Mytilus edulis: one gene and its partners. The protein of the gene in region 4 purifies or fractionates together with the protein of the main gene of each other region. This does not show direct contact. Links are inferred from orthologs where the notes say so. Each region holds a gene or a part of one and is shown on either strand. Other genes may lie near its edges. The genes, in order: nonsense-mediated mRNA decay factor SMG7-like, nuclear cap-binding protein subunit 1-like, histone RNA hairpin-binding protein-like and regulator of nonsense transcripts 1-like.

The links.
Region 1: the proteins of regulator of nonsense transcripts 1-like (region 4) and nonsense-mediated mRNA decay factor SMG7-like purify together in Homo sapiens (affinity purification with western blotting; 7 studies listed by BioGRID and IntAct, with this or other methods). This does not show direct contact. The link is inferred for Mytilus edulis from reciprocal best matches to the Homo sapiens genes UPF1 and SMG7.
Region 2: the proteins of regulator of nonsense transcripts 1-like (region 4) and nuclear cap-binding protein subunit 1-like purify together in Homo sapiens (co-immunoprecipitation; 3 studies listed by BioGRID and IntAct, with this or other methods). This does not show direct contact. The link is inferred for Mytilus edulis from reciprocal best matches to the Homo sapiens genes UPF1 and NCBP1.
Region 3: the proteins of regulator of nonsense transcripts 1-like (region 4) and histone RNA hairpin-binding protein-like purify together in Homo sapiens (affinity purification with western blotting; 4 studies listed by BioGRID and IntAct, with this or other methods). This does not show direct contact. The link is inferred for Mytilus edulis from reciprocal best matches to the Homo sapiens genes UPF1 and SLBP.

The regions. Positions count from the first base shown.
Region 1 is NC_092345.1:80,929,911-80,938,030, forward strand, and holds the start of nonsense-mediated mRNA decay factor SMG7-like, read right to left. Parts: upstream 3,481-8,120; 5' UTR 3,397-3,480; coding exon 3,371-3,396; intron 42-3,370; coding exon 10-41; intron 1-9. UniProt on the Homo sapiens protein: Plays a role in nonsense-mediated mRNA decay. Recruits UPF1 to cytoplasmic mRNA decay bodies.
Region 2 is NC_092347.1:28,671,584-28,679,325, reverse strand, and holds the start of nuclear cap-binding protein subunit 1-like, read left to right. Parts: upstream 1-4,227; 5' UTR 4,228-4,334; coding exon 4,335-4,380; intron 4,381-5,930; coding exon 5,931-6,022; intron 6,023-6,574; coding exon 6,575-6,675; intron 6,676-7,742. UniProt on the Homo sapiens protein: Component of the cap-binding complex (CBC), which binds cotranscriptionally to the 5'-cap of pre-mRNAs and is involved in various processes such as pre-mRNA splicing, translation regulation, nonsense-mediated mRNA decay, RNA-mediated gene silencing (RNAi) by microRNAs (miRNAs) and mRNA export.
Region 3 is NC_092347.1:26,235,235-26,243,073, forward strand, and holds the start of histone RNA hairpin-binding protein-like, read right to left. Parts: upstream 3,702-7,839; 5' UTR 3,429-3,701; coding exon 3,349-3,428; intron 1,226-3,348; coding exon 1,139-1,225; intron 89-1,138; coding exon 2-88; intron 1-1. Other genes in the region: M-phase inducer phosphatase-like, read left to right, coding at 4,136-4,299, 6,835-6,932. UniProt on the Homo sapiens protein: RNA-binding protein involved in the histone pre-mRNA processing.
Region 4 is NC_092347.1:39,449,480-39,457,890, forward strand, and holds the start of regulator of nonsense transcripts 1-like, read left to right. Parts: upstream 1-5,019; 5' UTR 5,020-5,199; coding exon 5,200-5,373; intron 5,374-7,429; coding exon 7,430-7,587; intron 7,588-8,105; coding exon 8,106-8,195; intron 8,196-8,411. UniProt on the Homo sapiens protein: RNA-dependent helicase required for nonsense-mediated decay (NMD) of aberrant mRNAs containing premature stop codons and modulates the expression level of normal mRNAs.

The DNA of each region.
Region 1 (8,120 bases), on a different chromosome or scaffold from region 4:
AAAGCATACCTGATATACTGGCTTTAAGTGCTTCTGCTTGTCTGAAACAAAAAGACATTTATTGTATTAATACATGTATCTGAATCAATAAAAAAAAATATTGCATACTCCATTTATATTAGTTTATCCATGCATATCTTAATGCAAAAAAAAATATAAAACATATTGCAATAGTTAGTGTCTAGAAACCAATTTTTCCTGAAGTTTCTATCTAGCAATAAAGTGACCAGACCTTGAACTATTGACTCTATAATCTAAAAATGTTTTCCCCTACCCTATATCTTACAAATTTTCCTAATTACACCCCAATCATGTCAATCAGGCTTCATTAACCAAAATTTCAATCCAGAAATTATTCTGAGGTATTTTTCGAACAAAAATATATATTTTAAAAAACAAAACATTTTAATTTATGAACACAAAAATGATAGGTGTCTTCTCCTTTCCTTTGTCATTCATCTGTATTAGTTTAATTCCTATCCAGCATTGGAAACTCAGGTTACAATCAAGAATCCATTTGTTTCCGACACAGAGACAGATGGAGGGACATTGCAATAAAATAGTCCACTGGAATTTTTCAGGAAGCATACATGACATTTATTCCCATTCTATATTATTGATTTGCTTTATTAAATCTTTTTAAATGATTTCTTAAATAAATGATACATGTTGTATAACATTTGGAACAGGGATTAAGTTTGGGTTTGCTTAAAAAATATTGCTGATTGCAAGTCACAGTGATATGCGTAACACAATGCCAAAAATTATCTTCCAACTCCATTAACCTACGCTATTGACACACATTTTATAGGTAAACTGCTTATTACTCTATGAAAAGCTTATGGACACTTAACCTGTGATATTTATCTACATTTTATCAAAATTTGATAACTCGCTAAGGTTCCTGAGATTTCAATGACCAAAACTATGAGGTCGTTTTTGCTATAGCACATAATGACATGTTAAATTAATTCCCCTCAGTCAAACGGCTTGTGCAAATAATTTAGATATCCTTGGTCACCATGTTAGATTTATCCACAAAATTTGAATGACATTTTATGAACTTACCTGCTTTAATAAATCAGTTTTAAGTTATGTCATACATTTATAATGTAATATTACTGCTAAATCAATGTAAAAAAGTCACCAATATTTGCTTGGAAATTCAAAATTTAAGTGTCATCATGGTCATTCGGTGATGTCATTCGGTTAATCGAGAGATTTTTATATATGAGGTCACAACTTAAAAAAGAATGAAGGACCAAAAAAGGTTTATTTTTGTCAGTCCTGTGTCTGACAGAAAAAAATTATGATTTCCAAAAATACTGCAAATTACATGTACATAATAAAATAGGAAACTGTATTCTGTATTCATTATACACCTTGTCACTATTAGTCTCAGTGTTTTCATTAAGAACCAGCCGCCGGCTATTTTGACCTGTTCAATTCAATTTCCGGCCTGTTCAGTTGCCCTTAAAAAAAAAGAAGTCCTAATTTTTTTTTATGAGATCTTTCTATGTAAAATCATGACAACTGAGTTCGAAGATTTGTGTTTATATTTTAAACCAACATGCGGTTGCAACGACCATTTTCATTGGCTGTTATTTCAGACTTCCTGTTTGACACACATGTTTATCGTTGTTATGATTGAATGAATAGTAATGAAGAGAACTTCATGAATTTTTCACTTCAACAACTACTACGCCAAAGAGTTGAAAAGGTTTGGATTACTATGTATTTTGACAAGATTTGGAACAGTTTGAATGAAGTTAAAGTTTACTGTTTATTGATCTACAACGGGCCCCGTTGGTCTGCCGTAAACTACAGAGAATCCGAAAAGGGGACAGGGTACATCGATGAAAAGGTGCATTGGCAGAACTTCTGGTCCCATTCCAAATCATAGATATATTTCTGGTGATACTTTCAGTTGTGAGGTACATGTACATTGTATGTAACCATTTTAAAAGCTATCAAATGAAATTTAAAAGAAGTGGAAGCTCATGTTTTCTTTCAAATGAGCCTGGCCAGCACTTCTTGTTTTCCTTTCTTTACATATCTTTTCATACCACCGGGATAATGGGAAGGACCGGGATAATGGGAAGGGGGATATTTAAAACTGCTGGGTGCAGGGGAAGTGCTGTCCAACAGGGTTCTCATCAAAATTTGTCTGGACTCACCATTTTCAAAACTGATGAGTCCACAGATGCATCAAGATTGAAATATTGTATATAAACTGAACACAGTTAAACACGAATATCATCATTTTATAGCAAAAGTTTAAAATTGATCTGAATTTAATGTCATTTCGTTGCTCTATTAGGATATGGAGACTATAATATTACATTATATTGCAATAAATTATTTTCTTCTAGCTGTTGGACTCATCATGGCTTAAAATGATGAGTCCCTGGACTCGCCTTCAAAAATCCTTAGCGAGAACCCTGTCCAAATTTTTAAGGGGTCCCAAAGGTAGACAAAAATCTGCCAGGAATGCAGGTTTTTAAGCCTTTTTTGTTTAAATCTTGGAGGGTTAGTGGTAAAAGTGACATTTTCAGAACTATAATTTAATGCCCAGAATGCAGGATATTGCGTCTAATTTTAAAAAAAATCCCCTCCTATCAGATAAGGGCCTGCTTAAATCTCTAATTGGCCCCTTCAAACAAAAGGAAGTGAAACCCCTGCAGTCTGCAATACTGGACATCACAAAGGACATCGTAAAATTTTGACGACATAATACAAAATATCTGATGCCACAATCATGGCAATGCAAAAGTGATCGTTGAATGATGTCAATAGTTCAAGCGGGGCAGATTCTCAGGTCAAGTTCTCAACTGGGAAAGATTTCCAAATAGTGGTATCATGTACATGTATTGTCTTGAGTGGGTTACCTCTTGAGTGTTTATTATACCTGTTTTCTTTGTCTTCCAGTCATAAAATAAGCCATTGCTTCTATTGCTATTGACTCAATCTTGATACGTACTAATAAAATTTCTAATTGCATAAGCATATAGATATATATAATATATACTTATTAACAAAATAAAAACTTGTTCCTTCAGTAGTTTTATTGACATTAATTTTGAAACTACCCAATTCTAAGCAAGTTAGTCCATTATGGGATTCAGTGGTAGACAGAAATTGTCAGAAGAATAGGAATTTTCATTTTATTGGTGTAAATGTTCAGTGGATACATCCTATTTGTTTTAAAACGAATTTCAGTACTACGCACTATGAAAAACAGTTTCCAAACAGTTAATCATGCGTTTTAATAAATGTTGGCTTGAAAACAAAACCAAGACATTCAAGCTCATTTAGTGTACATTTTTGTTAATTGAAATATAATTCTTTTTCGTGTCAGCGTATCCAGTACCTTAAAACCTGTGCTGCTGCACTCATACTTTTCAAAACCGAAAATAGTTGTTCGCTAGCTTGTCGCCATCTTTTTCTGAAATGCACTTCCGGTTAGACCAAATTAACTCCCTTAGCAGTATGGGTTTTCCTCTAAAAATAATTAATTACACCATTAATTACTCTTTAAACGGCTTTAATTTCTCACCCAGGAAGACTTAATATGTGTGATAATGACATATTTGAATTATTTTTTCACTATCGAAATTTCAAATTAAAGTATAATTTTTTTTTAATCAGTGTGTTTTCTGTTTTAGGGGGGGGGGGGGGGGGATAACTCGAGTAGATCTTTATTGATAATTATCCAAAATCTTGGAACAATTTATTTATATATACATATATACACATGTTCTTGCCAAAATGTATGTAGTAATATCATGATCTTTTCAAAGGTATAATAAATACTATGGGTCAGCGGACTAGTTTACGGTAGGTCCTGGACTGGTGTAATATAACAGAAAACACTTAATAAGGCAGATGGATAACTATGGCATAAGGGGAAAACTGAAATTAGGTATCAGCCTTCCTTAATAATAGTACGCAATTGATTGTCCATGACGTAGAGGTATCTATAGTCAAATGCATGTGGCAGTGGGGTGTCTTAAGGCTCAGTCTTGTGCCCACTACAGTACTTTTCCCCATTTCATAAACGTAACAGTAACATTAAAACACTTTTGTTCGTAGATTAAAATATTTTATACAGACATATAAAAAAAAATCATCAAGACTGTACCATCCTACAACATAACCTATAGAACTGCCTTTAAAAACCAGAACAAACTTGGGGTATGCAATTCCACCTAGAAAAAGTCTCACTGTACTAGATTGTATTCACCATTCACATATGACATAAGGCAACATTTAAGAATCCGTCAATACTGCAAAATATTTTGTATCACCTTGTCAGTCTAATAACATGTCTTGGGATACCCATATCAAGAACATTACTGATAAAGCAAATAAGATCTTGATCTTTATTCTTAAGAAACTAAAAAAAAAAAAAAAAAAAAATGTTTGGTTTACAAATCCATGGTAAAAACTATGACCAAGTTTAGAATACTGCTCTTCAGTTTGGTCACCTCAAAAACAAGCTAAAAACAACATTGAAAAAGTACAAAGAATGGCAGCACGCTACGTACGTCACGAACAGGTACCATACGACCAGCAGTGACTGACCATCTTAGATGGAAGCTACTTGAAACTCACAGCAACGTCAATCGAGTAACAATGATGTACAAAATCTCACTCAAACTCATTGCAGTAGATCCAAACCTTTACTTTTTACCACAGCCAGTCAAAAACACCAGATTCACCAGATTCACCAATTCACTTCAATAAAATTGAGAATGGAAATGGGGAATGTGTCAAAGAGACAACAACCCGACCAAATAAAAAAACAACAGCAGAGGGTCACCAACAGGTCTTCAATGTAGCGAGAAATTCCCGCACCCGGAGGCGTCCTTCAGCTGGCCCCTAAACAAATATATACTAGCCCAGTGATAATGAACGCCATACTAATTTCCAAATTGTACACAAGAAACTAAAATTAAAATAATACAAGACTAACAAAGGCCAGAGGCTCCTGACTTGGGACAGGCGCAAAAATGCGGCGGGGTTAAACATGTTTGTGAGATCTCAACCCTCCCCCTATACCTCTAACCAATGTAGTAAAGTAAACGCATAACAATACGCACATTAAAATTCAGTTCAAGAGAAATCCGAGTCTGATGTCAGAAGATGTAACCAAAGAAAATAAACAAAATGACAATAATACATAAATAACAACAGACTACTAGCAGTTAACTGACATGCCAGCTCCAGACTTCAATTAAACTGACTGAAAGATTATGATTTCATCATATGAACATCAGGCACAATCCTTCCCGTTAGGGGTTTAGTATCATACCATCATAACATATATGAGAAGAACATAACCCGTGTCATGCCAACAACTGTTTTTAGAATAAATGTGTTTAGTTCCGATGCAAAGACCTTATCAGTGACTCAATATTAACGCCAAAATATGCAATCTTTAATGACTTGACAACAGTATCGTAATTATATCCCTTCTTAATAAGTCTATTCAAAGGTTTTGTAAGTTTCCGAGGTGAATACTGACACCTTTGTGCTTTATAAAGAATATTACCATAAAAAATTGGATGTGAAATACCTGAACGTATTAGAAGTCTGCATGTTGAGCTATATTTACGAATGATGTCTTTATACCGATGATAAAATTTAGTAAATGTTTTGACTAGTTTGTGATATCGAAAACCCTGGTGTAATAATTTTTCAGTAATACATAAATTTCTCTCGTTAAAATCGAAAACATTGTTACATACACGAGCGAATCGTACAAGTTGAGATATATAAACACCGTAAGATGGTGACAAGGGAACGTCACCATCTAAAAACGGATAATTAACGATAGGAAATGAAAAATCATCCCTTTTATCATAAATTTTAGTATTCAGCTTTTCATTAGTGATATAGATATCAAGATCGAGAAAAGGGCAGTGGTCATTGTTAGTATTAGCTTTATTTAAAGTAAGTTCAACAGGATAAATTTCATTAATATACATACTGAAGTCGTCATTATTGAGAGCCAAAATATCATCCAAATATCTAAAAGTATTATTAAATTTGTTTATCAGATGTTGTTTCGATGGGTCTTTGCTTATTTTTGTCATAAATTGTAACTCATAACAATACAAAAACAGGTCCGCAATAAGTGGTGCACAGTTAGTCCCCATTGGAATTCCGATAATCTGACGAAAGACGGAATCTCCAAAGCGAACAAAAATGTTATCTAGTAAAAATTCAAGGGCATATATAGTATCAAAGCATGTCCAATTAACATAGTTTTTTTGTTTATTGCTACTAAAAAATGACCTAAAAGAGTTTGAACATATATATTCACATTCTGATTTTTTGAATGCCCATTTGATTAGGTGTGTGAATTTTTTCTTAATGAGAATGTGAGGCAATGTGGTATACAGGGTAGAAAAATCAAAACTTTGAACAGATTCAAAATCACCAATATAAGCATGCAATTTATCAAGTACTTTCAACGAGTTCTTGACACTCCAAAAGTAATTATTCCACTATTTTCGAAGGCCTTATTTGAACAATTTATTATCAGGTTTTTAATTGTACCAAGTGTGCTGGTAAGAAGAATAGACAATTTAGTAGTTGAACAATGGCTTGAAGACGAAATAAATCTATATTTGTAAGGGGTTTTGTGTAGCTTCGGAAGCCAATACATAGTTGGGACTTTCATTGTATTTGGCTCTGCTTGTAAAGCGGTGGCTAAAAGTTTATGTTTGTTACAGATTTCGTTTTCTGAAAATGGAGTCAGTTGGAATGTTGGTGAATTGGTGATTTCCTTTTTCAGAACCTCAATGTAAAATTTACGTCAAACAATAATAATATTATTAGCAGCTTTATCTGCCGGGACAAAAACAAATTCCTTGGCTAGTTCTTTTAGTTTATGTTTGATACGAGAAATAGGTTTATTGTGGTTATTGTTTATAGTAAAATGTTCTTTAAAATGTTGAATACGTATATCAACTATCTTCATTACTGAATTAAAAAAAGAGTCCAAAGATTTTTTGTCAGCTTTTTCCCGTTTTATCCATTTCATACAGTAAGTATGGAGTGAGTCGTGGATGATATTACGACACTCATTCCAATTAATAATTGACGGGGGACGATATTTAGGTCCTTTACTGAGGAATGATTTTAACTCTCGGTCTTGAACGATGTTAAGATCTCCTGTTATAACATGGGAAATGGGTCCATAAATATATTCGGAATTACTGCAATTACATGAAGTAGGTGTATTTTCACTGATATTAACATCTTTACACAATTGACTATAATTAAACACAAATTTCCGGGTAGATTTCTTGTAAATATAACAAATAAGAGGTAGCTCAGTATTGTCAAAATATCCAGGAATTTATTCTTTAACAGAATGGTCGTTAAATATACCGGCAATATTTACAAAATCAAAGCCTTTATTGACATACTTAATTTTAATAAAATGTTTTTTATGATCTTCAGGGCGATCAATTTTGGGAAATAATTTAGAATAACAATATGCCATAATAATTTGAACAATTTCATACTTAGGACTGCTATATGAAATTGTGTTGCAATCCTCCAAAATTTTATTTAACTTATTAACCGGTAACGAACAGAGTTTTGTTAACAGATAATGTCTGCCGTTGTTTTTTGAAATAGAAATTAGGTCCGAAATATTGGTATGATTGGCCCGAAATTTTCTTTGATTGCGATTTGTTCTACGACCGTGAGAACGTTTTTTACGAACAGTTTTAGAAACTATATCCAAAATGTTAACGGAATTGGTTCTAGATATATTACCAATTCCCATGATATTATCATTTAGACCGAGAGGGTAAACTGTCTGTAATTTTTTAATCCAATATAATTCAATTATTTTCCGTGATCGTACAAACTTTGAATGCGATTCACCAGGCTGCTTATTTACAACTTCTAAAGGTTGAACTGCTAAATATTTAAAAGGATGGTTGTGCTTCTTAAGGTGTTGGTAAATGATACTTTTGAATTTATTGGGTCTTTTAAAACGATACAGATGTTCTTGAGTGCGTTTAGATAAATATCGTCCAGTTTCTCCTACGTACTGAATACCACAGCCCGGTTTGTTTCATGTGAGTAAATAAATAATA
Region 2 (7,742 bases), about 11 Mb from region 4:
AAACTACAGGGCCAAATTTAACCAAACTTGGCCACAATCTTCATTGGGGTATCTAGTTTAAAAAATGTGTCCGGTGACCCGGTCAACCAACCGTGATGGCTGCCGTGGCTAAAAATAGAACATAGGGGTAAAATGTAGATTTTGACTTATAACCCTAAAACTGAAGCATTTAGAGCAAATTTGACAGGAGGTTGAATTGTGAATCAAGTCAAGATCTATCTGCCCTGAGACGAATCAGACAACCGGTTGTTGGGTGATGCCCCTGGATTGTCAATTTTTGAGGAAATTTGCCATGTTTGGTTATCAAAGATATAGATAAACTGTAAAAAGCAATAATGTTCAGCAAAGCCAGATCTACAAATTAGTCATGTGACCAAAATGGTCAGTTGACCCTTAAGGAGTTATTGCCCTTTATAGTCATTTTTTACCAATTTTTAGTAAATTTTTGTTATCTTTTACAAAAATCTTCTCCTCTGATACTACTGTGCCAAATTTAACCATACTTGGCAACAATAAGCATTGTGGTATCTAGTTTAATAAATGTGTGCGGTGACCCAGACAACCAACCAAGATGGCCGCCATGGCTAAAAATAGAACATAGGGGTAAAATGTAGATTTTGGCTTATAACTATGAAACCAAAGCATTTAGAGCAAATCTGACATGTTGTTTTGTTGTTTATCAAGTCAACATCTATCTGCCCTGAAATTTTCAGATGAATTAGACAACCGATTGTTGCGTTGCTGCCCTTCAATTGGTAATTTTTAAGGAAATTTAGCCGTTTTTGGTTAGTATTTTGAATTTTATTATAGATAGAGATAAACTGTAAACAGCAATAATGTTCAGCAAAGTAAGATCTCCAAAGAAGTCAACATGGCCAAAATGGTCAGTTGACCCCTTAAGGAGTTATTAGCAATAACTTTATTTTATTAAACGGTGAATGGATCTCTATGATTTTAAAAGAAGGTTCAATACCACAAAGGAAGGTTGGGATTACTGTATAAGTATTACGATTTCTCTGAAATTGTACCACAATGTTTAATACAACAAGTAGAAGGTTGGGATTCACATAAGGGGTTAGGGGGCTAACAGTTAAGGAAATAATGGCCTAAAAGGGGCCAAAATAACATTTTTTTTCCGGACAATAACTTCTGTGAAAGTGTATTGATCTCTCTGTAATTGTACCACAAGGTTCCATTCACAAAGGGTAGGCTGGGATTGAGTTGGGTGGTAATTGCTCTAATCATGTAGGAATTAGAAGCCAAAAACAAGCATTTTTTTCTTCTAGTTTCCAAACAATTGCTTGTGTTTAAGTGTATGGGATCTCTCTGAAATTGTACTATAAGGTTCCATACCACAAAGGAAAGAATTGGATTGAGTCCTAGAGTATTGCTCCAAGGGTATTCCAAAAGTTGGAGGGGGGATTTTTTTTCATTTTTTTTAAGGAATTCATATTTTTTTTAAACAATTTCAAATTTTGGAAAAGTTTCAATAAGAAATCTTCGATTGCACAATAGATTTGTAAGATCTTTGGCCACATTTATTTTGTTTCAGAAACCTATATTATGTCAAAAAAATTGATCACAATCAAAATTCAGACAGTATCGAGCTTGAATATTTTATCCAATTTGCCACAACTGTTCAGAGTTCGACCTCTGCTGTCGTATCAGGCTGCGCTCACCGAAGCATTTTTTTAAAAAGAAAGTTCAATTCCACAAAGGGTAGGTTGGAGATGACGGTCCAACTTTTTAGGAATTGAGGGTCCAAAACAAGCATTTCTCTTGTTTCAGGCTAATAACTTGTGTAAAGTATTTTGATTGCTCTGAAATTGTACCACAATGTTTAGGGACTTTTTTTTTTATCTGGGAGGGGGGCTGGTCAAAATACAGGGGGGATCAAGTTTTTTTCTGTATGTGGAAAAGGGGGGTTCAATTTTTTTATAAATTCAAAGTGGGGGGTCATTTTTTTAAACATAGAAATCAGCATTTCACATACTTCAAGAGATAAAATTTAAAGATGAACATTACAACAATCAAATCAAAACATATTTTTAACATCATTCATAAAGACTTTAGTGATGTAGGAAGCTGCATAGGTGCTTCATAATCCGAATAATCAAGTCGTTATACATGTATTTCACTCACTTTGATCACTAAATTAACAAGCGTTACTGCCAAGTTTATTTTTAATCAGCTTAATAGTTGGAAAGAAATTTAGTATAAACGAAACGAAATCTACAGCGATTTATGCAATTTTTTTCCCAAAATACAAACCATACAGCATCATGAGTGGAGAAATAAATTCTCCAATAAATTATTAAATATTCATCTACTTTGCATTTGAATATTGATAAGCAAGATGTTTCTGAAATGATGAACACCAGTAAAAAGTAAAATCACAAAAATACTTTGTGTATCTTTTTGTTTTCATTATAAGATCTCTTGGGGTCAATTTTACCTCTAACTTCCTGAAAATGTGTACTTTTAGGCTAATAAATCAAAATTTTAATGGTACTTTCACACATTTATAAATGAAATGTGACAATAAATGAGTAAATAAATTGTTCAAGCTGAAAGCATGAACTATCCATATTTATATAAAAGTTTAGCGACTCAATTGAGATTTCAATAAGACTTTGCGTAAAACTTTAGTTTAAGAAGCGTTCAAGAGAGGGACATATAATGGATTCCTCTCAGTAAAAATGCGTTGTTACTGTTTCAAAAAGTTATTTTTTACAGTTACGTAGGGTCAATAGATTAGCACAAAATACAATGATATAGGAAATTAGAAAAAAGTCAGAAAAACTACTCAGAGCACTGGCTTCTACCTACTTCAGGTACTTATATTTATGGAATTAAGAGGCGTCATGGAAAAACAATATTCCAAGATAATTTTCTCTTAATTATGATTTTGAACTAAATCCACTGAGAACATTTCATTTTCAATATTTTCGTGAAGTGTTTGAAAGGAGAAAATTTTGTTTGATAGTGGGGGGATCGATTTTTTTTAATGATTTTACTGAGGGGATCAAATAAAAATAGTGAAACATTATGGGGGGATCAAAAAAATTCGTATGTTTAATTTCAAATGACAAGACCCCCTCCCAGGTAAAAAATGATAAATAATACCACAAGAAGAAGGTTTGGATTTATTTTGGGGTTATTAGGAATTTTAAAGGGCCAAATACAAGCATATTTTTTTTTGGGGGGGGGGGGGGCTGAGGGGGGTAGGAGGGGTCCTGATCCCGAAATCCCGGCTTAAAACCATGAAAACCCGAGGTCCCGAATTTAAAAAAAAATCCCGGATCCCGAAAGGGTCGATCCCGAAAATCCCAAGATCAAAAACACCCGAAAAATGCCCCCTTGTTATTTAGTTTCCAGACTAATTTTTTTGTCAGTGTTTGGATCTCTCTGACATTGTACCACAAGGTTTCATATCTTAAAAGGAAGATTTTAATTGATTTCGGGGTTGTTTACCCAAACACGCAGGAAAAAGGGTGAAAAACAAGCAAATTTCTAGTCCAGAGAGTAACTTAATTGTGCTTTAGTGTATGGATCTCTCTAAGATTGTAATACAAGGTTCCGTATTACAAAGGAAAAGCTGAAATGAATTTTGGGAGTAATTGCTCCATGGGGGGATTCAAAACGTTGTTTTTATTGAGGGGTTCCGATATTTCAAGTTTTTCAAATTATTTTTTTTCGGAAAGTTTCAAGAAGATATCTTCAATTGCACAATATTGCACAACAAATTTGTAAGATCCTTGACCACGTTTATCTTGTGTCAGACACCTATATATAGATACCGGTATTATGTCAAAAAGGTATCACAAATTGTCAATTTAAGTTTAGACAGTATCAAGCTTGAATAGTGTGTCCAAATTTGCCCCATTGTTCATTGTTCGACCTCTGTGGTCGTATCAGGCTGCGCTCGTCGAAGCATTTGATCTTATATTGTATGCAATAGGTCTACTATATTTTGTTTATGAAATGTTTGTAGGATGTAGATTTATTAATGAATGGGCCACTTTTATTTATACATGTTTTATTCAGTTTGATTTTTTTATAGTCACGCGCATATATTATTATCTTCCTTAAATCAAACTTTTTATTCGCTAAGATATACCGAAATATTCATTTCGGGTTTGAAATTATTGTAAGTTTGAGGTGTATCAAATTGGTCCGATTTATGATGGTTTTATGGTTCACGTAAACTTTTAGTACGTTAGTATCCTCTATTTTTCGGTTCTAAGCTGCAAGGCGGAAGTAAGCGCAAGATCAACTTCCGGGGAAACAAAAAGTAGCGTGAAAATCTTGCGTTTCAAAAATCGACGTTTAAAATGTCAAGTCGTAGACGACACGACTCTTATAGTGACGAAGAAGATGGTGAGTAATATATCTTTCCATTAGTAGTTGTCTTTACGTGCACGAAATAAAACTTACAACAAATACGACCAAATAATGTGTCAGTGAGAGCAGAGCGGTTTTTATTTATATTAAATTATCCAGCCCTGCTTCGCATAAAGAACGGGTTATGGTGCAAATTGAAATTTATTTATCAATTAGAATAAGAATTAGGAAAATTGTTATCTGCACTTTCGGGATTTAATATTGTGAAATCAGATTTATACAGTGCACCTTTTGGTTGAAATGAATGTTTTTAAATACAAACCACTCTGCTCTCAAATTATTTGTTCGTACTTGTTACACCCCCTCCCCCTTTTGCAGCAGAGAGGGCATTAAGTTTTACCCTTGTTCGTCTGTACGTCAGTCCGTCTGTATGTCTGTCCCTCCCAAAGTTGGTTTCTGTTCTCTACCTTTAATTTGCTTCAACCAAATGTTATGAAACTTATACAAAATGCTTATTAACACAAAACAAAGATTAAGTTTGGTGGTGTCACATTTACCTTTGTTGAGTTATGCCCATTTACAAATGAAAAAAATACTGATTTTTTTTGTTTCCGTTCTCTAACTGTAGTTTGCCTCAACCAAATGTTATTAAACATAAACATATATAATGATAAGAATTCCAAAATACAGATCAAGTTTTGCGGTGTCACTTCATCCGTTCTAGATTCATGCTCCTTTACAAATGGAAAAATAGGAATTTGATTTTAACCAACTACAATTACGGACACAGGAAATAACTCCAATTTGCAAAATTTATTTTACCAATTACATCAACTATAACCAATGGCAATGCTTAATATACAATGCAATGTTCATTAAAAAAAATAAAAACAATCTTTACCTTCGGTGCTTACAAGCACTTTGAATAATGTTGTTCAGTTTTGTCCCTTTATAACCTTACATGATATTTTGTTTCCATTCTCTTTCTTAAGTTTGTCTAAACTCAATTGAATGAAATGTTTATATATTTATAATGCTTATTACCACTTATCTCAGTTTAGGTTCAAATTTTGGAAGCATTACTTTTACAGTTTTTGAGTTATGTCCCTTTATAATGTTATATGCTAGCTGGGGCATCATTCTCCATTTATTTTAAATGTTTTTTTGTTAAAATGTAGTGGCTCAAAAATAAGACTACTACACTACAGTGTTCAAGCGAGGATTTCAAAAGGGCAGGGATCCAATCATGAAAAGGGTACTTAAGCATGCTGATTGATAATTCAAAAAGGGCATGCCAAACATTGTATTTTTCCCCCAAATTGAAAGGCTATGAAGAAATACAGAAAATTGCTAATGAAAAGCAATGGCAATCATTATTTGTGGGACAAGATTAATTTGATTGATAATTTACTTTCTGGAAATTAGCTTTCTGAAGTCTGTATCTCAACTTTTATCATCTTTGGTTAAAGCTACTGTACTTTTCAATCTGCAGGTGTACATAGTACTTGCCCATGTTGACAAGTTATGATAAGAGTTCAGAAATTTGTTTTTGTGTAAAAAATAAAGTTATGTGATTTTATGTTTAGGTCCTTCCTCAGTAAGAAAGAGAAGACGAGTATCAGAAAATGTTGACATTGAAGACAGACTTGAATCACTTATAACTAGAGTTGGAGAAAAGGTAAACAAGAATAAAACAAAAAATAAATCAAAAAGCACAATTTAAATCTATTTAAATATTTAAATCATGGTAGATTAATAGAAAGTAATAACTGAGAAATAATTCTTTTCATGCATGTCCTTGATTCATTTTATTTGTAAATATTTACATTGAGTGTTATTCTAATTTGGTTTATTTTCATGAAACTATAGCAGAGGAATAGAATCATGGCGATGTTTATACTAAGTTATAAAATGGATAAGTTAACCATGTAACTACCATAAACATAGAACAGCATAATCATGATAATAGGCCACATCAACATTTGACTCATTCAAAATTCAGTTATACAACTAATAGACAAAAAAACCAATAACACATGGTCCAGGTAGTCAGACTTGGTTCAAATGTAAAATGTGGTGGTGTAATTTGCTTGCAAACTTTACCCAAATGTCTTACGGAAACACACAAAAAAAAACTTCCATGCTCTAGCTAAAATGTTTACTAAACTTAAAACTTTATCATGTTTATAATATTATCTTTTGAATAATATTCAATACTTTTGTCTTGCAGAGTACATCCTCTTTAGAAAGTAACCTTGAAGGCTTAGCTAGTGTCCTGGAGGCAGACTTGCAGAATTACAAGACAAAAATCCTTAAAATTTTAGTAGAATGGTAAGTGATGAAGTTAAGTTTGATCATGTTTGATGCAACTCTGTATAATTGTGTATTTATAAAATTAGATAGATTCCTTGTAAAAAATACTTAAAAATGTAAGTTATTGAAAAGGATCTTGACAAACACAAGCAGAATTCTTTATTAGTAATAAACGATGTGTTTTCACTTACAGGATTCTGTTTGGATAGGAATACAGTGGCGGATCCGGGGGTGCGCACCCCCCCTTTATTTTTGCCGATCAATGCATTTGTATCGGGACATATGTTTTGCACCCCCCCCTTTGCCCTGGGTTACCTGGGTTAGCACCCCCCCTTTCGAAAATTCCTGCATCCGCCCCTGGAATATACCAGTGGGACATTATTATAGAACTAAATTAATGAATGTAAAATATTCATATCTTATAAACATGATAAAGCACCTGATTTCTTAAAGCTCTTCTATAAAAGCTTGCAAAAGCTAACCTTTGATCAACTTGGTTGTTTCATTATGTTTGCTTGGATGTTAGCAAACAATAGGTAGGCGTAGTTTCAATCTGCTTAATATATACATTTTACTTGGATTTGATTGGACAATAAAAATTGACATGAAATAAAGTTAATGTTTGTTGTCCTATTAAATTTCAGTATATAGTAAACAGACTGAAACAAACTACCTACCTGTTGTTTACAAACATCCAAACAAACATAGCAAGCAAGTTGATCAAAGGTTTGCCTTGCATGCTTTTATAGAAGAGCTGTAATGAGTTTTTACATTCTGCTTGCAAAACTTGCATAATTTCATTGAAAAATAAAAGCAATAGATTTTAATAAATATCTGTATTCTAGACAACTGATAAAGTTTTTTAGAAAATATGTTTTGGAACTAGGTTTTATTTTTTTACATTAAATAAGAAAGTCGATTTGAATTTTAAAGGAAATGTCCTGTTTAAAGCATAAGTGTAAAACAATCAATTTGGTAAATTTGGAAATGCCATTTTACCTCCCAGTAAAAGATAGGGACTGGACTTGGATCCACACTATTCTAACCCTGGTGTTACACCAACTTGAATTGAATATAATACATAT
Region 3 (7,839 bases), about 13 Mb from region 4:
CTTTGAACACTGTAATACTGGGTACTCATTTTCATCCTCTATAAACTCATCAGTTAAACCAAGTTGCTTCCAGCATCCTTTTCTATCCCTGTAAAATATAAACATTCTTTTTAGTAAAATCAATAATACATTTCTTCAACAAATCATTCCATTGTAAAAGATTGATTCTAATATGACGTTCTTCTTAAGCTTTGGGTACAAAGCCATGTTCTAATTCAAATAGAACATGGGCTGCACGTGATTGACGTCACAATTGAAATTGCAACGTCAGATGAATTTTGAACAACGCCAGAGATCAAAATGGACATTTTTGTTGGTGTTGCTGGCTAGGAAATTAAATGAAAACATTCTAAAAGTAAGTTTAAATGTTTCTGTTCTTTTTTTATTGATAAATGCTGATTTTCTATAACGTTTTTGGTTCATGAAATCAAAATGGCGACATTCTGAGCGTCTACTATAGGTCCGCTTCGAAGTGAAAACGTTCAAATATTCCTATTAGAATCGAAATAATTCTATATCTACAGAATAATCTATCAGATCCTGCATCTTCTTTGATCGACCATAAACATGAAACCCTAAGGCTATGTCAGTTTACACAATAAGAACAGTGGTTTTAAATAAATTCTAATAATTAATTTTGATGATTTATCATTTTTTAAATATTCTTGTATCAAGAGTATTAAAGCTTTATAAATGTTTCATAGTACATTACAATGTATGTGCATAACAAAATTAGAGGCAGGTAAATGTCCAACCTAGCTTGCATCTTATAACATTGAGGATTACAGTTTTTCTGCAGATATTGTCAGGGTTTTTTATGCTGCCTTTCCCATTTCTTGTCATCATTGAAGCAATAACAATCCTATTAATGCCCCTTCTGTTCCACAAAATTTGTACTTAAAACTGTTATCAAACATTTTTTCAAAGCGGTTGTATCTTCACAAACATGACAAATAAAGTTGTTAATGTTTTTGTTTTTCATATATCAAGCCTGTTTTCATGTTTTTCAAAAATATAACAGAAAAGTGAAAACTGATGTTGGAGAGTAAAATCTATATATAACTTGACCGTAGGTAAGGGCATTTTCAAAAAAAATCTGAAACCCTGGGCTAACTTCATCGAGTCATTATCATGTTACCTGTTCTTATCACAGTTAATATCTGACTGTATTTTTCTATTCATTGGACTTCTCAGAGGGCTAAGAGGTCCAGATGACTTTTCCTCCCTGAAAAAAAAAGAAGACAATATAAAACATTTGAAAATTTATAATTCAAATACAGTTAGATGTCACAATAATAATATTTGTTTCTGATCCTTCACAATCTGAAAATAAAGGGCAAAATATATATCAGACAAGTTCAAATTGACACAATTCAAATCAACAAAATCTACCAAATCGCCAAAACAGACCAGAATTCCCTTCATGGGTTCTGTTCGCTTCCTGAATATGTATGAAATAAGTGCCACTAAACATTAAGCTTAATAACAATCTGAATCAATAATGTTTGCATACACCCAACATAGACAAAATTGGTTTTGATTTCATTCTAGTTATGACTCACCCAGACTGAAATAATTACTAATGGAAGTTACAAGACATATCTATCAATTTCTGAACTCAGTGTTCTCATTAGAAATTTCTAATATCATCCTGGTAAACAGGAAATTTGCAACTCCATAAATTTTCCGAGACAAGGGCCAGTGTATCATACCCTACAACGGATACTAATTTTCAGTGATAACAATATAAACTATGGATTTAGATATTTTTTGTCATAGTACAAACATTTGAATAAAGGACAACATTATCATCAAGTTAAAAAAAAAACAGCCTTCAATACATGATTTTTGGGGCCATTATCTTTTGTATTGATTTATCATTTGAACTACAATGTATGGTTTTAACCTTTTCGCAGTCAATGCTTCAGACAGCCGACGATGAGAAATGTTTTACCGGGGTCAGCATACCTCTTATATTTCCTACTAAAAAACATTGCTGAACACAAGTTATCTTGGTATAATGCTTGAATGAAAGTGTTTACAAGACACTTATGTTTGTTTACAGGAATTTAAAATAAGAAACCTTCTTTTTAACAAAAAATTGGGAGAATTGAAGCCAGTCTAGTAACCTATTTTGACATAATAGAGGGTCGTAATGCCCTTTATCATCAGGCGTCAACCAGTCATTTTCAGCTACCATTAAAGAGTTTAAATTAGTTAAACCGACGATTTTTAAAATTATTTATAAGAAAGTGTTCATTTCATCATCATGCACCAAAAATTACGGTTAACTTCATTTGGCAAGAATTTTTACGGTAATAACAGTTATTCTTCACGTAGGTAGTCCCATTAAATGCTACAGTTAAATATCAAACTTGGTAAAATTTGATGGACAAGAATTTCGGTAATCTTTAATTTACATTATCTGTAGTGTAAATTCAGGTCTGCCAAATTTTTACAATAGGATGTCATTGGAAGGCATCACAGAAAAAAAAAGAATGTGTCCAAAGTACATGGATGCCCCACTCGGGCTATCATTTTCCATGTTCCATTGACCGTGAAATTGGGTAAAAATCTAATTTGTCATTAAAATTAGAAAGATTATACTATAGGGAACATATGTTGAAATTAGAAAGATCATATCATAAGCCATAAGTGTACTAAGTTTCAAGTTGATTGGACTTCAGCTTCATCAAAAACTACCTTGACCAAAAACTTTTATCTGAAGCGGGACGAACGGACCAACAGACGAACAAACGGAGCCACAGACCACAAAACATAATGCCCCTTTACTATCGTAGGTGGGACATAAAAATTTAATAGCCTTTCAAGAACTTGAAGAAGTCTTAATACACCTTATCGGCTGATCCCAGACATGGTCCTGCTCAAACTATTGACGTCATACAACAATCACTTTTTCATTGTTAGGGAGCTCAAGGTTGTCCAGATGCAATTAATGTTACATCGTCATATATAATTTGTATCATGACGACAAATTTTTAAGGGAACCTATGTGATGTCTAGTAATGGCAGACAAATAGTGATAAGGTGTATTGTTTGGACTAAATTATAAAGTTTTACAACACAAATAATATTGTTGGCGCAAATGTATTATAAAAATGTAGGAGCCAACATTCAATCCACAAATGTATAGCATATTTAATTTGGTACATTAAAAATTCAACAATAAGTTCTTCTGAGCTATGTTTTAATCGTTCGTACACGCTTAATCTAAATAAATATTTTACTCTCTACCGCAAGGGTCAGGTCGGGCTAAACAAACGCTCACCCAATAAATTTTCATTTTCTACTTAAAAAAATTAAAGCTTTGTCAAAACCAAATTTAACCTTCTTGAAAAGTGTTGATTTCTCCGATCTCTTGATCTTCTGTGTGCATCTAAGTCTCTTCTTCTCATTTCAGTTGTCATTTTAAGTCTCTGTATCGTTCCCACTTTCTTTCTTCCGTCTGTTGTTGTTCTTCTCTGTAACTCCCGCCACTAGTTTACGCACGCGCTCAATCCAAAACAAAGAATTATGAATATTCATAAGATTTATTTTTTTTGGCAAAAAAAATCTTTATTTTTTCATGGTGCATATTTTGTTAAACTTCATAATTTGAGGGCAAATAAATACCAAGAAAATAATTTTTGTTCATTTAAGCCAATACACATCACTTGCCTCCAAATCTACTTCCTGTTTGTACATGCTTGGTTTCCCGAAGTTTGATTGGTTAGATCTGTGTTGTTTTTCAAAACGGACGGCGGCTTCTCCTATACACAGAACAGCTGAAGAACATCTGATCTACAAAAATATACTATGTAAAAAGTGTATTGGAACTACACACAAAGGATGGAATAGGAAAGAATTTGCTTTGTCAATGCAACCGCAATTTTATACATTTTATGAGTGGAACAAGTAAAAATGGCATACAGTTCATGATAAAATCTTGCGGTTGCTTTGTGGCAGTGTCGTTGTGTATTCCATGATTTAGCGGTTGAACGGAAGATAAATGCACTGGTAGAATTTTGAGGGACAAAAACTTCAAGATCTGGATGTACAGTTCCTTGTCAGCGTTATCATCATCATTATCATCAACACCCTCATTTCATTTACAGTCTTGCCTTGATTTCGAAAGATGTCTAAAAGTAGCATTTCAAAGAAGCCTCCACGATTGCGTTTACCATTGAAAAATCTTAGCAATAATTTAAGTTTTTTGAATGCACTTAATATTGCTCCATCAAAAATGAATTCACCAGTCACCAGCCTTGCCATGAATCTGAGCGAACTCCATACAGGGAGGTAAGGACACTGAACAGTTTCAGTTATTATACTTAAAATAGATTCCTTTATTTATCACTTGTTCCTTAAGTTCCTGCTTTTATTTTTATATTAGATATCAACAGTTTGTGTTGTGTATTTTCAGCGTATTTTCATACATTTACATTTTAATACAAATAAGACGCCAGCAATAAAATTATATATATTTATATAATTAATTTGAATGGGTATTAATTGTGGAACCAATTAACTAGTTGATAACAGGATAAGTGTTACATGAAGCTGCGGACCATAGCTCTTTTTGAATCCATGACAAGTCGCCCCACTGGCAAGTCGCCCCACTCCTAGTCGCCCCACTTTTTCACCAACTCGCCCCACTTTAAAAAAAACGCCCCAACCTGGATCACCAACTCGCCCCACTTTTTAAAAAATCGCCCCACTTGTGAAATGTGTTAAATCCCGTTAATATTACTCCTGAAAACTCGCCCCACTGAATGGAAAACGATAAAATCTAGATTAACATATTATTAACCAGGATGAATGTAGTAAAGCCAACTCGCCCCACTCATGGAAAAAGATGTTATCCCGTTGTATATAACTTAAATTCCGTAAACATTACTCCTGCCAACTCTCCCCACTTATAGAAAACGATAATATCTAGATTAATATATTATTAACCAGGATGAATGTATTAATGCCAACTCGCCCCACTTATGGAAAAAGATGTTATTCCGTGAATATTACTCCTGCCAACTCGCCCCACTTGAAAGAAAACGATAATATCTAGATTTATATTATATTATTAACCAGGATGAATGTAGTAATGCCAACTCGCCCCACTTATGGAAAAAGATGTTATCCCGTTGTATATAAGTTAAATTCCGTAAATATTACTCCTGCCAACTCGCCCCACTTATGGGAAAAGATGTTATCCCGTTGTATATAAGTTAAATTCCGTCACACACAACACAAGGATACACAGTAGACATAGTAAATGCATGTCAAAGGTTACTTTGATATTTACTTGAAAGAAACATTTGCCTTCCTCTGATTGGTCGTTAGTGTTGAATTATTCTAAATTCAGAGACAAAAGTAATCAATCTGGTAATTGCTCTGATAACAAATTGCTGTTAATTGAAATCCGTTAAGTATTATGATATATTGCATTATGATACAATTAACAGGTTTCTTTTCAATTGTTATGCAAATAACTAATCTTAAAAAAATACAGTTATTCTTCAATAATACGAAAATTATTTTTAAGTGGGGCGAGTTTTTATATTTTAATTTGATATCTAAATATTACCGTTTTCCATTAAGTGGGGCGAGTTGGCAGGAGTAATATTAAACATGATTTAACCAATTTCACATGTGGGGCGATTTTTTAAAAAGTGGGGCGAGTTGGTGATCCAGGTTGGGGCGTTTTTTTTTTTTAAGTGGGGCGAGTTGGTGAAAAAGTGGGGCGACTAGGTGTGGGGCGACTTGCCAGTGGGGCGACTTGTCCTGCTTCCGCTCTTTTTGTTGTGATGATGGTATTGACAATTTGTAGCCTGCCTAAGAAAAATATAAGGACCATAAGAGCTTCATTTTTGCAACTAGATAAGTGTTATATATAAGGTTAATGTACTAATGATTATTAAAATCAAATGTAAATTTACTTAAAATGTCAAATTAGGTTATGTATACACATTTTGCTCCATTTGTCATGTATAACTGTTGTCATGATTATTGTATATATCTGCAGTTTAAGTAAATATACATGCAGCTTGATCTGGCTTTTTAACTCAATTGGACAAAAAATAATTTCCCCATCTCAACTTTGTGGCTCGTATCTAATTTTCTAACTTATTTATATTTGAAATATATATTCAACTGTTTCTTTACTGGTAAAGTCTAACATTGTACCTCATTGTTAATGTTCTGGTATTAATGCAGAAACTAAGATTTCAATTAAAAATGTTGAAGGGTGAATATTATATCCCTATCAGGGAAAAGTATTTCATAATCTCAAATTGTAGACATGTATATATTTTTATAAACATAATCACATGCATGGAAAAGACAAATAAAATTTAATATTGCATTATCAATACCAAAAGGTAGTATTTTGTAATTCTGTAACTACTATTAACAGTTATAATGTTAACTGTCAAAACAAAAATTTATGTTGCATTTTATGTTCCCATAGGGTGTACAATCATTGGGAAGTATTAATTTAAATGGACTTTGGAAAACTTTTTGCCCCCTCAAGTCAAAACATAATCTTACAGCGGTTGTGATGCAAGATGACTTTACTCATTTGTCAATATGTTGATTTATTAAAATTGTATTTTTGATTGAAGTTTATTTTTTATGGCATATGTAAACAGAGGTTCTTTCATGTTATACTACTGTTAAATTAAATTAAATAGAATTCACTGTTGCATAATCAACTGCAATATGTGAAGCATATATATATATATATATGATATATGGTATGTGAATTTAAAAATGTAAGTTGTTAATGTCATCTGATTTGTGTTCGAACAAGTTTCTTTAATTACCACTTATTTTCAGGGGAGGAACACCAAGAAGAAAGTTATCTTTATCCAGCATCGATACACCACCCACACAATGCCAACCAACACCTGATAGACTGGATTCTTCAGAATCAGGTAAAACATTTATAGTTTTTAGATTAAAGCATGAAAAGCAAACCTTGGTTGTCTCAAGTAATTAAAAAAAACTATTTTAAAGAAAATGAATTTAAACTGGTCTGAGAGGGATAAAGCAGTATACTCTTTTATGTGCTGAAGTTATGGATTAAGAAATGCGATCTTAAAAAAATGTTTTAATTTTTTTTTCGCTAACTGAAGGCTAGAATGTATTCTTTTTACAATGATTGTAACACTATTTTGAAATAAGATTAGACAACCAATCACATTTGATGTTTTGAATATTTGTTTGTGTATTATGATAACTGAAATACAGGAAATCTGACTAGTGTTTCAGGATATTTACTTTTGACATTACACAGGATCATCTTCAGGAAATTTTGTATTTTCAGTCTGGATCACAGGAAATATCTGTTTCAAAAGAATAAATGTAACTTAAAAAAAACAACATTTGAACAATATAATCTATATATCAAGTAATCTTGATTCTTTTCCCCTTTTAAGAAAAAAGTTTAAAGGGGTTCATTAGTTTCACAATTAAAGGGATGTAATTTCTTTCCAATGAAGCAGAAAATAGAAGTGAAAGCCTTACAAAAAAAAACACTTTAAGTTTATGTAATGTCCACTGTGAGAGGTGTGACCACTTGGACATTTCTACACCTTTATAATTGTTTGATTACCTCAATCTGCTTGGGGACAAAATTGGAAAAGATTTTACGTGAATGAATGAATATTATTTCTCATTAACTGCCTAAAAAAAGGAAGAAATAGTTTTATCTCAATCCATGAAATTCCCTTTCCATTTAGATTTGTATAGTAATTTTTCAACCAAATTTAATTCTTGTTCTTAAAGAAAAGGTACAATATATTATTACTGAAAACAAACCACACAAGGCAACCCAAAAAA
Region 4 (8,411 bases):
TTGAGAAATAATTGTATGATTTAAATACGCGTAACAGTCTTTAGAGAGAAAAGGGGGGGGGGGGTCATTTGTTTACAAATGCACGTAGTTATGCAAAATAAATAGATCAAGATTTCTAACATATCGGATGATTATTTAAATAAAACTCCTTTAAAAGTAAATGAATTTTAAGCATAAGGTAATGAAAATAAAAAACTGACATAAAAAAAATGAAATTTCTTGGAGTTTTTTTTTTTCTTTCTTTAATTTCATACATAAAAAATGGTCATTTGAAAGATTAAATTAGGTGCCAAGAGATTGCGAGAATGCAGGATTTTTCTCTATTTATGCCAGAGCTTCTGGGGGCCTTGAGCGGCCCCAAGACCCCCTGCCGTAAGGCACCAAGCTTACAGCTTGGTGGGCGTCCGGCTTCGCCGAACGCATGTTATAGCCGCCTATAATTTTAATTCAGCCTTCTACTTCCATTTTAATGGAAAGCCCTGATGTAGTTTTCTTTTTATCACACAAAATGGGATTTTCCATGCATAATCTATACACAAATATAGTCAAAATCTGACAATTTTGCACAACCTGAAATTGACCTGTAATGTGAAAAATATTCATGTGATGCATACTTTTATTACATTTTTGAAAAAAGCACGACAAAAACTACATTTTGACAAATTATTAAAAATTTCTATGGATTTTAATTAAGGCTTCCCTGCCACCTAACAGATGTTCCTTTAGGCTCTGAGAAGTTTAATTTCAATCAGAATGACAGAATTTTCTTCCACTTGGAATTAAATTGTAATGTATTAATAGTAATATTTAAACACATATATGAAAATGACATCCTAAACTCAGACTCAGGCACCTGTACGTTGTTGAAGCTAAAGTCTTAGAGCAGTTTCAAAACCTAACATTAGTAGTGACAGTCATTTGTCAAAAAAGTTGTGACAGAGAAATGTTATGCTATAATCATCATGATCATTGTGAAATTGATATATTTTGAGTATATGCCCCTTAGCATTGAGGATCTATGATTGGTCAATAAAAACTTTTATCTTGAATCTTGCTTCTTTGAGTTTGACAGCCAGTTTACAGAATTAATAATTTGCGAATATATGTTTGTTATTATAAGCTTTTGCATGTATATCCTATTACTCAATCGGTTAAATGATCCTACTCTTATCAGCTTATCTTACTTCAGGTTTCGAAGTAACCGAGTCAATTTTGTAAACACAGTTCAACGTGGTTTAGGTACCTGTGCACAACGTCACTGATATTGAGGGAACCCAAATTCGAATAAATGCAAGATTTCACAAGTAAAATGAACGTTGTTACAATGCGTATAAAAATACCACTATACAGTTAAAATTGTATCACTACATAAAAAAATCAATTATGGAATGAGCTGCCAAACCACATAAGACAGGAAAATTGTCTAACTCAATTTTCCAATCTAATACAGAACTGGAATGGCAGCTCATGCCAATGTAATGCATGCCATTAGTGATTGATACATAGCTTTGCTTCCCCCCTTTTTTTTATATATTAATACTAAAATTAGCTAGCTATGGTTTTATATTTCTATCTGCATAAACAGTACTATTTTATTTCCTTATGTTATGTATGTGCTTTCAATAAAACAGTACTATTTTATTTCCTTATGTTATGTATGTGCTTTTAATACCCTGCTTTAATGTATGTATGATTGTCTTAATATGTGTGTTTTGTTTACATATTATTTGCTTGTGTGTAATTTATTATAATGTCGATTTTAAAAGCTTAAGAGCTTGTGTTACTTTGTTTACTATGCATCGACAATAAATAATAAAACTTTGATTTGATTTGATGATACTGTTACTTCTAATTTTGATGGTCTATTGGTTTGTATTGTTGGTTTTCGATTGAAGGAGGTTTTTTCAAGTCACAAGTTCACGATCTGGGACTTAAAGTGTATTACCCTATTACAAGTCAGTGGCGTAGCTAGGTCATTTTTGCGTGTACGCCCGAACCTCGGCGAGGGGTCTGAAGACCCCAAACTGATCCATGTCAAACAATTTCTGGTAGTGGATTAGATCTAGGGAGCGAGGCCCCCGGAAGCTAATGAGTTATCGAGAATGAATACCATTCCTGTCATTAAAAACTCATCAGTATCAACATACTTTAGAATCTAGATGGTTTATTTGTTATGTTAAATTATTCATTTTGTTAATTTGAAATAAAATAGTTATTGGATTCAGAGATAATGTCAAAACAAGTAGCTTTTAAATATGTTTTAAAAGAGCTGTGAGGGTAAAGCCAGGCGCGTAGCTCCCTATACGCTAACACGAAGTTGCGTGCACATCGATTCGGCATGCAAAAAAAATAATGGCAAAATAAAAATTTATCAATTGAATGTTAAAGGAAACACGTATGTTGTCACTTTTTCAATTGATAAAATATCATTAAATAACGGCATTTGGTTTCAAAATAAAAGTTTTATTGGAGATGATGGCAAAATCGGACAGTAACTTGTATCTTTTACAAGATTTGAATTTGTAATACTGAAGTCTTTAGAAGACATGTAGTTTTGGAGCACATTTTACAGTGTACGGTTCATCAGTTTGGAATGAGATGTACCAATCGGCATTGGAATTATCAGGTCCCTTCGATATAATTGAAAATATGCCGAGGCGATGTGGTCGGCAGACTACCTGAGCCAATCACCCTGCAAACACGCCAAAACAGTATTGGAAAGTCTCATTATGTTTTGCGTTCATAGACCATATGATAAGGGAACTGGAGAGTGGAGTCGCGTACGTCTAGTATTATCAGAAAATCGCTTCTTTGTGCTGTATCTGCTTCATCGTGTTGTAGGAAATATAACAGACGAACAAATCTCAACATTGTCTGAGACATACGAAACTGACCTGGCATGTAATTTTGACGAATTTAATTGGGAGGTCGCTCGATGCCGAACATGTACGCTGGTTTATAACATCTTGCGAGTGCTACCATGGAGATCTATCAGTGTACTACGTATGTTGAAAACAAATGTACGATCAACAATGAACAACGACATACAGTTACTGCATATTCATCGGTATTTCAGTGTGAATATTGACAAAGTAATAGAGAAGTTTGTTTCTGCCTAGACCCGAAGAGCAGATTTTTGACGATTTTGAGTAAATTCTGTATCACAAATATGTTTTCTTTATGTATTACTCTATTCAGAAGATTTATTAATAGTTTTACAATAATATTTTTTTTATAAGTCCTCACTACATATAGTGCCTCTCATTAACCGTCCTTTGACCGAAAACCGAAAAAAAACATTTTTCTGCAAAAAAAATTTGGGAGTTGCTTGCACATTGTTTCTTTCTAGCTACGCCCCTGAAAGCAATTAACCAATTAACAAAATCACCTTTTAATTTCCAAATTTCGTAAATGAACATTAATCTTCAGAGATTTTCAGGTGCAATAATAGATATCGTAAAGGGTTCTGTGGAATGCTGTTTTTTTGTGTCAAGGATTCCCCCTGCAAATAGTGAATCCATTTATCATTCCATTACAGGATTTTTAAAAAATCCAACATTTTCTTTAGATATTTTGTCTTGATCTTGAGTACTAGTTTTGGCCCAAGTTTCATGATAATTTATGAAGATTGATGCATTGATAATTTATAAAAAGCCATATAGGATCGCTATGTCGCGCTTTGGCATCTTAAATACAAATGTATGTCACAGGCTCAACAAAACTGTAAACCACAAAACGATTCTAAGGAGATAAAGGATTGCTTAAAACAAAAGGGAAGGGAGTATAAAACTCACATTAGCTTCAGACTTGACAGAAAATGAACAAATAAATGATATGATTCCATTTGACTGAAAGTAAATTTTGTCAATTTTATTCACAATTACAAGCCAACGAAGAAAGAATTATAAAGCTGATGTGCTTCTAACAAGTTATTTTTATTTTCTTTAGATTGCTTTTTCAATAGCCTTGGAGAAGTCCATATATAATTAAGCAATCTGTTTGCATTCCTTCGTCTAGGTTTTGTGTAATATCATCTATGAAGGGCATTATGTTTGTCTGAGTGGGACATGATGTTGTTGGTTAGGTAATTACATGTATGTGTTCCATGATTTTGCACCTGCTATACACGTTAAAGATACCGTGGACGGTAGTTTTCTGCTTTGTACTTTTGACCTTTTTTTGAAGATAGGACAAACGTTGGCCATTTTCCAGTCTATTGGTAATTCTCCATATTCATAAGAGTTTTGGAAGATGATACTGAATATTGGTGTTATTTCGGTGGCTATACGGTTACGGTTTAGAACCTTAGCAGATGTAAGTTGGTCTCAGTGGTCCATAAGATATAACACATAAAACTTCAGTAAGAGTCGGTATATGCAATTCAAGTAAAAATACAAGCTTTGAAGAGCTTTTAAAAGCAGCTGCCGTGTGTGATCGATTTAGACTTTATTAGTATTTTCAGTATTCCATGCATGACATATCTGCCAGTGATGTTAACTTCTGGCATAGATGGATAATTTTTGTTTGAAGATCCACATCTATCTTGGAATTCCTGGTTTGAAATGCTTGTTCTCCCAGAAAAAGCAGACTGAAACTGTTGGTTAATTGTATATTTGCTTGATCATAATCTAACTTGACTGAGGATCTTGAAAAAATAGGGTCGACTACCCTATTTTTTCAAGTCAGTGGTAATTAAGACTGATTTCTGCTAATAAGCAAGCTAACCAAATACTCTACCTTAACCTACATACTCAATGCATTCTGCTGTATAAAAAAAGAATATCCATTAAATCATAGTATTCATATATATATAACATCACGAAAGACCAAAGTACATATGCATCTATCATGAGTCATGATAAAAAAAAAAACATATTTTATCTTGTACAACACTGAAGCCATATGTTTTGCACCATTTGAATGCATATCGGTAGATGTATTTATGTATTATATTTCGATATAATTTAGAGGCACTTTACAGGCTCAGTCCTGTGTTTCTACAATTTATTTCTGTCTTTTATTCATACCGGAACGTCATCATAATTTGTTGTGGTAGTGACGTCAACGGCCTTGGACACAAATGGCATGAGTTAGGAGGAAACGCATTCCGACCAATTATTTCCCGTTATTGACATGAATTAAGAGTCAACACGTTAAACAGATATAACAAAGAACCGTTTGTAATCAAGCGATGCCAATATGAGTGTTGACGCTTACGCCCCGAATTCCCAAACGTTGACATTCCTTGAAACAGAGGAGGATCTCCTTGGGGCCGACACGCAAGGAACGGATTTTGATTTCACTGATTTTACGCTCCCGTCTCAGACACAATCTCAAACTCAAGCATCACAGCTTGACTCCAATCAAAGCCAGGTAAATAAGCATGTCAGTTTTCTTATCAGTTTAACTTGTCATGGAACGAAAGTATGCAACACGTGTGCAAACTTGATTGACTTTCAGTTTCAACGAGTTTCATTCATGGCAATCATACATTTAAGTGTATACAATAAATCAAATATTTATAGTATTTACATTCCGTCAAATTACATTCATTTTATCCAGCCCTTTCAAAACCAAAAACATCCTTCCAATTTGAGCTGTCTCAACTAACACCTACTACTACTAGTACCAGCAGAGCTCTAGATAAGCTGCGTATATGCCTGATCATGCAATATAAAGAAAACAATTGAAAACCCAATACAAGTGCCCATTGCAGCGTTCAAACACCCAATTCATGCAAACATGCAAAGGAAACCCCTTTTGACATGATTGAATGTGAAAACCTTAAGTCACTATCGTGTTATCTATTACATTGTCGTTGTGTAAATCTACATTTGTAGTTTTGTTATATTTATAAGTGGAAATGTCCTTTTGTTCTTAAAATACAATAGAGTGACACCTCAAGTAGTTGCAATGGGTCCCTGTTTGAAGTTTCTGATGCTCAAAAAGTACATGTGTTGAAGAAAACAGGTTTCGATCTTCTCTGCGTAATCAGCGTAAGTCATGTCATCATATTTAATTCTATCGTATTGATCAGAATTTATCTAACACATGTCAATGAATTAAAGCAAAATAAAATTTGATAAATATTTAATAGAACCATGTCTCAATCAACTTGAAAGTAAGTAGTACACATGTTCCCTAGGCTATGATATGATCTTCTAATTTCAATGCCAAATAAAGACATTTGAACCCAATTTCACGGTCCACTGTTCAAAGAAAATGATAGTGCTAGTAGGGCATCCGTGTGATATTGGGGTACAAGTCAAATTGGCATCCGGTTAATTCAGCACCCACAGAAAAAGTCAAATTGGTACCTGGTTAAATCGGCATCTAGTCAAATTGGCACCTATTTGAAGTCAATTGGGCATCCAATTATATTTGATATAAATATATATAAACTATTAAAAAAATGAATAAATGATCTTTCTATTTCTGATTATTTTTAGTTTTTTTTTAACATTAATGACTCAAAATTCTATGACTCAGACTGTTGTTTTGATAAGTTTTCTTTTCAATTAATTAATTTTAAGAATTCACTAGTACCTATACAAATCTTTGTTGATTAAAAAGTCAACCAAACCCATGTCTTACTAGCATTATTAAAAGAGCTGTACATCAGTGTACATTGTATCTCTATAGAAGTAGTTATTGATGTTTTTTTTTTTCTTCATTGAAAAACTAAATAAAAAACAATGAAGCCTTTTCGCAAGATGTTGTTTAATCATGAGAAAGTTAGAAGTAGTAAGAGGGAAAACTATGAGTCCTTTTCATTAGTATCACTAATTATATGTAATTCTAAGGTCGTTTTGCAGGAAAGTTTAAACAGCATTAAACCAACAATCATGCAGAATGCTCATCTGGTTGAAACATGCATAAAAAATATCTTACACCTTTAATACACTCACATTAATTTGAACGAAAAATAATGCATACAAACCCCCCCCCCCCCCCCCGAAAATGTAAATTGGTCAATATTTTGGGACAACCCCTTCTTTATTTTAATCGATTTGCTTAGAATACTGCCGAAAAATATATATTAATTGATATAAAATATATAAGACATATTTAATATGGGTGCCCAAATTACTACATCAGGTGCTGATTTAACCAGGTGCCAAATTGACTAAGTGCCCATTTAACTATACTGGGTGCCGATTTGACCAGGTGCCGATTTGACTAGAATTCGACACATTCTTGTTTTTGAAAGGTTAAGAAATTCATGAACTACAAATATAGGACCCTTGCTAAACATGCAATTTTAGGCCACAAAGATTTTCTAATATTTTGTACAATGTACCTTTCTTCAATGCTGAGGATTGTAACTTGACATGTTGGATAGACTGAGACCTATGTTTTTCTTATAAATGAGAATTGAAGTTTTATCTTTTTGAGATGTGTTTGTAACTTTGTTTATAATATTTATCAGGTGAATGGTATAGATGGCAGTATCCCTAATGACGTGGATGCGAAAGGTACCATCGAGGTGAAAGTTAATAATGTTGCACAGGGAGTTGGGGAGCTGAACTTTGAGGAAGATGAAGAAGAACAGTTTTGTATGAAAGATCTCCCCAAACATGCATGCTCGTAAGTTCTCTTAATGATAACTATTAAAAGCTATAAACATTTGAAGTATATGGCTTATAAAGAATAATCATGATCTATAAATGTATTAGTTGGAAATGGGCGACAGCTTAAGTAAAGAAGAAACAGTGCAGTTTCATTTCAAAAATATGATGATAATCTTCCATGGCAATTTTTTCTAAATAATCTTCAGAGATAAAAAAAAATTGTAACAGAAAGGTGAAAAAACTAAAAGGACATTAAAACTCGTAAGTTGAAAATAAAATTACAGTACCAAGGCGAAAAAAACAAGACGACAAACAGGATACAAAACATGAAGAAGGTACAAATTTTATGTAATTAATTCCTCAATCCAAATACCTTAGACTTTGTATAAAAATTCACTTGTTAGGCAGGCACCTGCTACATTTTGTACATGTATTATTGACTATTTACCAACCTGATTTCAAATGGAAGTACAAGTTACAACTTCTGCTCTATTGATTGTATACATTATATTTAAACAAGGTTTTCTATTATAGTTACTGTGGAATTCATGATCCAAGCTGTGTAGTATTTTGTAACAGTACAAAGAAATGGTTCTGTAATGGTCGTGGTAACACCTCTGGAAGGTTTGTATTCTTGTCATTTATGAAGATAAAAAGTCATGGTATTATCAAGATTTTTCTTGAAATATAGAAATGGTAGAGAAACAGTTGAAAAATCTGTAAGAAATGTTAGATAATATTTTCCACTTTTATTTTCTCAAGCAGGGGTATATAGTGATCCTCCATTTGTTTGGTCGGGAATTTGTCTGTTCATTCTTTTATTTGCTCATCAGCACTTGA